2 linked regions of the Daphnia pulex genome follow. Each later gene encodes a partner of the first gene's protein in a complex. Links are inferred from orthologs where the notes say so. Each region holds a gene or a part of one and is shown in the gene's direction. Other genes may lie near its edges.

Region 1 (4,267 bases):
ATTTATGTAAAAATGCATAACGCAAGCGCCTGACGAATACACAAGTGACAATTGGCACATGTGCAATTGGCAAAAGTGGTTCATTGAATACGTTTTTTCTTTTTCCCGGTTTTTACTGGGGACACCTTTTGTTTTGCTTCATTCATTCATCACTTCCTACGTCTTTATTTGTTTTCTATCTTAAGCAAATCCTTTTTTGAATTTTTTTATTGGCTCTTTTCCCCTCCCTTAATGTCTATCTTTGTTTGAATGGTCTCTTTTTTTAGCTGTTTTCGTGTGTGGTGACCTTGACCCACATGATGGGACGCTGCGGATTGATTATTTTATTTGCCGTGTTGCTCACGCTTTTGAATGAGCAACCCTTTTTTTTATTTTTTCACGGAATTCCCCTCTCTTCCCTTTGTGTGTCGGCCTCATACTCACCGGTATACTTCCTCAGCGGTCAGAATTGCCGTGCTGTATCATATAAAGGTTGATTTACCAAAAAGAGTTTCTCAATAAATACAAATTTTTTTTTTCTTCTTTTCTAAGTGGTTTTGCCAACTGACGCATTGCTTCAGGTGCGTCGCAGTAAATAGGTAGGGGGGCTGCAGCTAGACAGCGAAATAATCACTTTGTTGTTGGGAGAACCTGTTTTTGTTTGTTACGTTTTTGTTGGGTTGAGATTGATGGCTTAACGAAGTTAGAATGCAAGTTTCATTTCGTTCGCCACGAGAGAGAGCTAGAAATTTGTTTAATGAGACTGGATGTTGTAAGTGATCGCTTATAGAAGTATAGTCCATCAAGAAGTCAATATAAGTAGAGAGAAGAAAATATTTTATTTTTTAGTCGGGAAAAGCGTAATCAAGACCAACAGGTAGAGCAGCAGCAGCAGCAGCGAGTGTAGTATAGAGACGACGAAATGAATTTGCAATGCCCGCCAGGTGTTGTTTGACAGGGGCTAGCCAGTTCCTGTTTTCGAAATTGTCTACGCCCGTCTTTTGGTTGGTTGGTACGTATACGTATGAAGCAACGGCGAAAATGCCAGATGGATTCAAAATTATGCATCTAATCGTTTGGAATCTCTTAACTTGGGAATATGTTAAAAACTAAATATGGATGTAGAAAAAAATTCATATTTCTTTGATGTTATTCACGTAATTGCGTGAGAGAGCCTCGAGTGGAAGTAGTTGAAATTTTCTTTGGCCCGTTAAGAAAAAGGGACCGAGAGTCCGCCCGTCGGCCAATAGCGCCATCATAATGGCGCGGGTCTTTTCTAAAAGAGAGAGAGAACGAAGCCCAGATGTATCCATCCGCCGTGCATACCTCGTCAAAATAGTTCCTCGGCTTTTTTTACATTTTCAGTCTTTACGCAGTTTTTAGTGGATTCAATCTTAATGTAAGAATTAATTGAAGAGAATACCAATAGAATGAAAGGCAAGTAGTTGGTTTTATGGTTTGAGGAGAGAATTTAAGAAGCGTTTTTTCGTTTTTTTGCTGGAACCAAAACTTGGTGGGAGAGAAGAGGCAATGGTGGCGCTGGCATCGCATTCAGACACCAAGAAGTACTGAAACTGAAACGACAATTTCTGCGGCAAGAGAAAAAGATGCATTGCCGTAGAGGCAAGTCACCAGCCCAAATTACGTCGATTGAGTGTGTTGTCTGTAAAGTTTGAATCGCGCCTCTTGCAATTTTGACACTCTGCTGGTCGGTGGGGCACACCACCTTGCGGGCTGACTCGCTTACGTCAGTTGTTGGAAAGAAAAAGCTTTTTCCCCAAGCGTCGTCGCGCGCGTTCCGGCTCTCTCTCTGTTCGTGAACTCTCCTCACCACCACCACCACACACACACACAAGACCCAAAAGGAGGAGAAGAAGAAGACGAACAAGAAGATTTCAAAAAGTAAAAAACCGTGTGTGCATATGTGAGCAAGTGCGTGTTGGTGTGTGTGTCTTGTGTTAAGTGTGAATGTGTATGTGTTCTACACAGTGTTATCCATTGTGAGTTTGTGCCCGACTTGGAGCGACGCGTTCAGCGTGGGAATAAGAGGCCAAGTGTGCTTTAGCTGAAACTCTTCTTGCTCGAAAAGTTCTCTCGACTCGAGCGTAAGTCTGAAAAATGGATGCCAATCCTAGATTGCTGAGCATCTCTGGATCTTTCTAGAATTTCTTGTACCGATCACAGGCTTACATCATTCCTTTTTTTACGCTTTCAGGTTCTATCGTGTTCCTCAACTGAAACTCACCTCTCTCAAGATGGAACTGAACCAGTTGTGAGTTGATCGTAACAAGCAGAAGACCATGGCCAGCACCCAAGCTGAAGTGGAAGCTCCCAGAAATGGGCCCGAGATGAAGGATCTGGATGGACCCAACACCAACGGGGTGGATGCTCAGAGGGAGATGGAGACAAACAGTTCCAACGGGCCAACTTCCACCCCTGTCAGCAACAATGGCTCTCATGACATGAACGAAAGTAGCAAATTGCAATCAGGCGGGGGTTACTACAAACCTCCTGTAGGATATCCTGTGGACTCCCCCGCTGCTGGCTATGAAAATGCCCAATCTGGATTTGGATATCCACCTCACAGCTACATTCATCAACAACAGCAGCAGGGTGATTTGCAGCAGCAGGGCAGCTACCCGTACCCTCAGTATCCAGGCAGCAACCTGGTTCGAAATGTGTCCAGTCCTGTGCTAGCCACAAAACCAGTGGCTTATATGAATTCCATGCCCAGGCCTGGTGTTGGTCCTGTGCCGAGTTATCCTCCAGTTCATCATGGTAGTGGTGCTGCTGGTGGACAGGGTTATCCACCCTCAAGATATTCAACACCAACATTAAACCAACTTCTTCAGCCTGGATCAGGAGGGCCAGTGCAACGATATTCTTATGGAGACTATCCTCAACAGCAGCCACCACCACCACCAAATTCGCATCCAGCTGCTGGCTGGCCTATGCAGCAGCAGCAGCCCAGGAATTTTGCTCCTGGATTCAAGCCTCCACCAAATTCGATGCAGCAGGTACAGGATGACAACGTGAAGGTCAAACCGAATTTCCTTAGAAAAAACTTTCTTTATTGGAAGAATGCTGTGCACGTTGCGTCATATAGCCCATCGATCCTTTAAGTATTCTTTTGATTGCACGGCTATTAAGAGACCAAAATAATGAATCATCTCGTTTATATAGAAAGTTGGCTAAGTCGGTAACGAACGGATCATTCCGTTAGTGGTCCGACGTCTACACCCACCTCTTGTTCTTGATCTAATTACGGAGCACATTAATGAATTGAATGATTTAAGTAGAGGCATTCATGAGAAGAGCTCCATCACCCCCAGCTTGAATCATTTACATAGATGGGTTGGAGGTCGGAACTAGATGTCTGAGTGAAAGATGGCCGAGTGAATGAGTGATTGAACATTTTGTTTCCAAAACTTGGTGGAATATGTGTATTTGAGTGTGGAGCAAAAGAGCCACGTGGCCGTGTTTACTGACCCGTTATTAGTGACGGATAGAGAAGGGGGGAGGGGTGACGTCATTGACAGGCATCTTTCTCTCGTGCTACCCCCTGTCTTTTCTTTTTTTCTTTCTCTCCTCTCATCTTTTTGAGCCCTTTTTTATTGGTGATGGAGGAGGAGAAGGAGGAAAGGAGCTATTTGTGACTCTGGGGGAATGGCTACTTCTTTTTCCTTGCTGTGTGAATATGAAATGTGATTAAGAAATAAAGTGATGATCGTCCTTTAAGAGCAAGGAAGCAGGAGGAATACCCTCTCTGTGTCCCGTTGAAACGCAACCCCCCACGGAGATAGTGACGTCACTATTAGCATAAACTATCCCTTTCGAATCTGGCCCTCACCCTGGGTGGCGGCACACTCACACACCGTTGGTTGATGGATTCATTTCGACTGATTACGTTTTTTCCTTTCCTTTTCTTGTGCGTTCAGGGTGGAGGCGGAGGATATCCCTCGTACGGACCTGGTGCTCCCATAGGACACGGAATCCAGCAGCAACGATACGCCGTGACGCCAAGTGGAGGAGGACCAGTCCAGCAGGTAAGAAGATGGGTACGGCCAACAAACACATAATACGAAAAAAAAAAAAAACGAGAGGAAACGCACAATGCTACCTTTATTTAGCCTTTCCCATTGATGTCTTGCCTACTTTTCTGTCCATTGGACGATCGCCAGCCCAGATTTTGTCAGAACTATTCTCATATGGTTCGATCACAAGTTTGTTTTTACTTGGCAAAAGAAAAGAAAGACGGTTCGCACAATAGGGTCTTCCCGTCCACTTG
Region 2 (4,169 bases), on another chromosome or scaffold:
TTATTTGAAAAAAGTTCTGTGGGGTTTCTTTTTCTGTTGACGTTCGATTTCCTCTTGCTGACCAAAATATTGGAATGAAGACTCGTCTGTCCCATCTGCAAGTGGTCGCTTTTTCTGCGACTGTTGTGCAGTTCCTGCTACCCACATTGCATTACGTCGCATCTTGTTACGATAATATTGTTTGAGTTTTTCTCGCTGCTCAAACCACTTATTTCGGTCACGGTACGCTTCTTCCTTTGCTGGCTGGTAGATAAAATCTGTAACCTCTATGAACAGACAAAATGTATGCACTATTATTGAGTTCACAATAGTTGTCAAATCTAACAATAAGTTTTAAATTTATAAAAACCTTTTAAACGGTTGTCTCCAGCGTGGAAAAAAAGTGGTTCCGTCCACATACCGGCATTTTTCCAATAGCCTTGATGCTCAACATTGCTCACTGTTTCTGGCTTAAACAAAAGTTTAGGGTCTTTCTGGGCAAATAGTTTTGGTGGCAAACTAATTGGTTCTTCTTCTGGTTCTACTGCAAGATTGCTCTCCTGAAAGAGGGTTCGTAGAGAGAACTCACTACCTTTGCCAATATCTAGATTACAATGAATTAGTGTAAACATATGCATTATACCAATAAATCATAAATACATTTCATATACCTAGAGCTTCTGTTGTCTGGTAATAACGTTCAGAAGATACTTCTGGTAGAGACTGTTGCTCAAAATCCATCTTGCCTTTTTTAAATGGCTTATCTGTGTTGCTCTTTGTTACTTTCTGAAACTTATTATCATGGCTCGAGAGATTTGAATCAAATTGGATGAATGCTTTGTTTCTAAAAAATATGAAAATTTTTAAAAACAATAATATGAATGGCAATGCTTATTTTTCATACCTGAGCAGGGGTTTTGCTGACTCTGACTGCTGTTCATTGCTAAGAGACAAATCAACCATGGTATCACTTTCTTCAACATGTTCGTCGAAGATAATTTTTTTATTCAATGGCTTTTCAGATATAAACGACATTGTCGATTGTATCACGCTACTAAGCTGCGGTTTTAAGTACTGTACTTCAGTTCGTTGTTAATTATAATATAACGTTTTATTATCATCAATCTTTCCGGAAAATTTGTTGAACTGAACGTCTTAACACGTGAGTCGTGAGAAATTGAAAATAATGATTTTCGTCTGCTAGAATGCAAACAAATGACACGAGTACACCAATGCCACTAACGTTTGGCTTGTCTGTAAATGAATTTTTTGGAATCTAATTTTAGGTAAATTTATTGAGAAGACGGATTTCACTAAAAATAAGAAATTATATTTAAATAAACGTTAAATTTATTGTGGCTTGTCATCCCATGTGGCAACTGTTTCCAGAAAAATCTTCAAGGTTCGTACTACATAGTTCACCACACCCCCACGGAGGGCGAACCAAGCAACGCCAAGCAACGCAACGCCATAATTTTCTATATTATTCGTTCTGAAAGGGAATTCCCAAACATAAACTAATAAAGGGCAAAGCAATTATTGAAACGTGAGTTAACAACCATAATGGTGTAATTGATTATACACTTTATATTTTTAAACTTTCATTATCTGAAGATATATTCGTAAAATTACTTGTCACGAACTTCACCGGCAATGAATCTAAAGAACAATTCCTTTCATCCCCTTGCAAACATTTTTTTCATTTTTATTTGATGCTTCAACATATTTTAAGTAAACTCTTGGAAGTAAATGAAAGTTTATAAATTCAGTAGATGTTTATCTCTTCTATATTATTAGTGCATGTGAAATCTTTTTTGTGTTGAATTTTGTGTTAGTAAAATTTTTTCCGTTGTTTACTTTGTGTCTTAGGCTGTGAAATATGTCATCTGGAGAACCACCTTCTTCGATGATGACTTCACCTGGGCCAGGGCCTGGAACACCTCAGCCATCACCTTTGTCTCATCCTGCTGCATCTCCAGCACCACATTCACATCCAAATTCAAATGCTGGAAATCAACAACAGCAAGTTGCTTCTCCTATGGCACCTCCGCAACCACCTTCTCCAATGAACCATCCTCAACCATCTCCATCACCCATGGGTCCACCAATGCAGCAACACCCTCCCCAGTTTCAACAACAACCTCAGCAGCAAACTTATCCACCACCCATGTCAGGAGCAGTTTCGATGGGGCCTCCTCATCAACCTATGCAGCAACCAATAAGGCAGCATCATGGTGGAGTTCCACAGCCTCATTATATGGGAGCAAGTGGTGGCTATCCTCCAGGTTCACACCACCAACCTCCACAGCAACCAAATTATCCATCACAGCCTGGTGGACCAATGCCTCAACAATCCCAACAGCAACCAGGAGCACCACCTTATCCACCTGACAGTATCAATGCTTTGCAAAGAGCTATATCTACAATGGAAGACCGCGGCTTGCAGAATGATCCTCGCTATGCTACTCTTCTTGCCATGAGAGGAAAACAAGAGGGAATGGCTCCTACTAGCCACAGTCCTGGTCCACCACTTATGGATCCTAACAGGTAACTTGAATTGCGATCAAAATATATCTGAACAATGTGTAACTGATCCATTACCAATATTTAGACAACCTGGTGTGCCATCGCAGTATGGGCCGCCCAATCCAGCGACCCTTAATGGCAATTCTTCTGGACCGGAAGGGGCCAATTCTATGAAATCGTCATTCCTATCACCTACACAAGTCCACCAGCTACGAGCGCAAATTATGGCTTACCGGTTGTTGGCTCGAAACCAACCTGTGCCAACAAATATTGGAATGGCTGCCCAAGGGAAACGGACGGACCTTCCGACACTTCAGTCGCAGCCTAATACTGTATCACAGCTGGATCAACAACAACAGCAAATATATGTTCCGTCTCCGTCTCAGCCTGGACAGTCTTTCCAGAGACCTACAGCTCCTTCGGCTCCTACTCCGATGCAACCTTCTAGCGTACGGCCTATTGGGCCTCCATACTCTTCTCAGCAACCTGTGGCACCATCACCGAGCGGACAGCAGTCTCAGCTACCTTCTATGGGGCCACCACCATCGGCAGGAACTCCAACTCCGGGAACTACTGCAAGTCCAGTTCCTGGTACCATACCGACTCCTCGTCCCCCTCAGCCACAGGTAGATTTTCTAAAATGTCATTTGTTTTAGAATGGTTATAAATGCTACTTGTACTTAAATTGTAGGTCCCTGTACATCCGATGCAACCATCCCAAGGGGCTACTGCCCCTACTGCAATTCAAATGGGTAATGCTGCATTGCAGCCCATCATAGCACCACCAGCTGTGCCCACTTCTAATGCCTCACTCATGCAACAACAACCCGTGATGCCACATTCACAGCAGATACAACCACAGCAACTGCAGCAACAAACACTTGTGTCTAAACAAAACAAAGTTACCCCAATTGCCAAACCAGCAGGATTAGATCCAGTTGTAATTTTGCAGGTATGTGTAATCTATTCGAAGTAATATAACCTTAACATTATATATATTTATTTATTTTAACAGGAAAGAGAAAATCGCATGGCTACGCGCGTTGCCTACCGTATTGAAGAACTTAGTAATCTACCTACTACAATGGGAGAGGATTTGCGAATTAAGGCGCAAATTGAATTACGTGCTCTGCGATTACTTAATTTCCAACGGCAGTTGCGTTCAGAAGTGTTAGCTTGTACGAGAAGAGACACCACGTTAGAAACAGCTGTCAACGTTAAAGCTTATAAGCGGACAAAGAAACAAGGACTACGAGAAGCTCGAGCAACTGAGAAGCTTGAGAAACAACAGAAAATGGAAGCTGAGCGCCGACGCCGTCAGAAGCACCAAGAATATCTTACTGCGGTCCTTCAACACGGCAAAGATCTTAAAGAGTTTCATCGTAACAACCTGGTAAATAATTATACCAGATACTTTGGTGATAAGAAAGCTTATTTTAAAATTTTAACTTTTTAGGCGAAAATTGTGCGCATCAACAAAGCTGTCCTACTACATCATGCTAATGCAGAACGTGAACAGAAGAAGGAACAGGAGCGTATTGAAAAAGAGCGTATGCGTCGCTTGATGGCGGAAGATGAAGAAGGTTACCGTAAGCTTATCGATCAGAAAAAAGACAAACGTCTTGCATTCCTTCTTCAACAAACGGACGAATACATTGCCAATT

Evidence for each region.
Region 2: trithorax group protein osa-like (region 1) and ATP-dependent helicase brm-like share a complex: the UniProt entries of both Drosophila melanogaster proteins name them as parts of the brahma complex. The link is inferred for Daphnia pulex from reciprocal best matches to the Drosophila melanogaster genes osa and brm.

What each region holds. Positions count from the first base shown.
Region 1 is NC_060023.1:7,307,387-7,311,653, reverse strand, and holds the start of trithorax group protein osa-like, read left to right. Parts: upstream 1-1,467; 5' UTR 1,468-2,084; intron 2,085-2,194; 5' UTR 2,195-2,279; coding exon 2,280-2,996; intron 2,997-3,917; coding exon 3,918-4,025; intron 4,026-4,267. UniProt on the Drosophila melanogaster protein: Trithorax group (trxG) protein required for embryonic segmentation, development of the notum and wing margin, and photoreceptor differentiation. Required for the activation of genes such as Antp, Ubx and Eve.
Region 2 is NC_060018.1:7,737,307-7,741,475, reverse strand, and holds the start of ATP-dependent helicase brm-like, read left to right. Parts: upstream 1-1,369; 5' UTR 1,370-1,525; intron 1,526-1,848; 5' UTR 1,849-1,858; coding exon 1,859-2,526; intron 2,527-2,590; coding exon 2,591-3,131; intron 3,132-3,196; coding exon 3,197-3,457; intron 3,458-3,520; coding exon 3,521-3,898; intron 3,899-3,961; coding exon 3,962-4,169. Other genes in the region: uncharacterized protein LOC124205796, read right to left, coding at 1-266, 350-583, 651-823, 884-1,014. UniProt on the Drosophila melanogaster protein: Transcriptional regulator. Acts as a coactivator, assisting one or more dedicated transcriptional activators of ANTC and BXC homeotic gene clusters. Can counteract the repressive effect of Polycomb protein.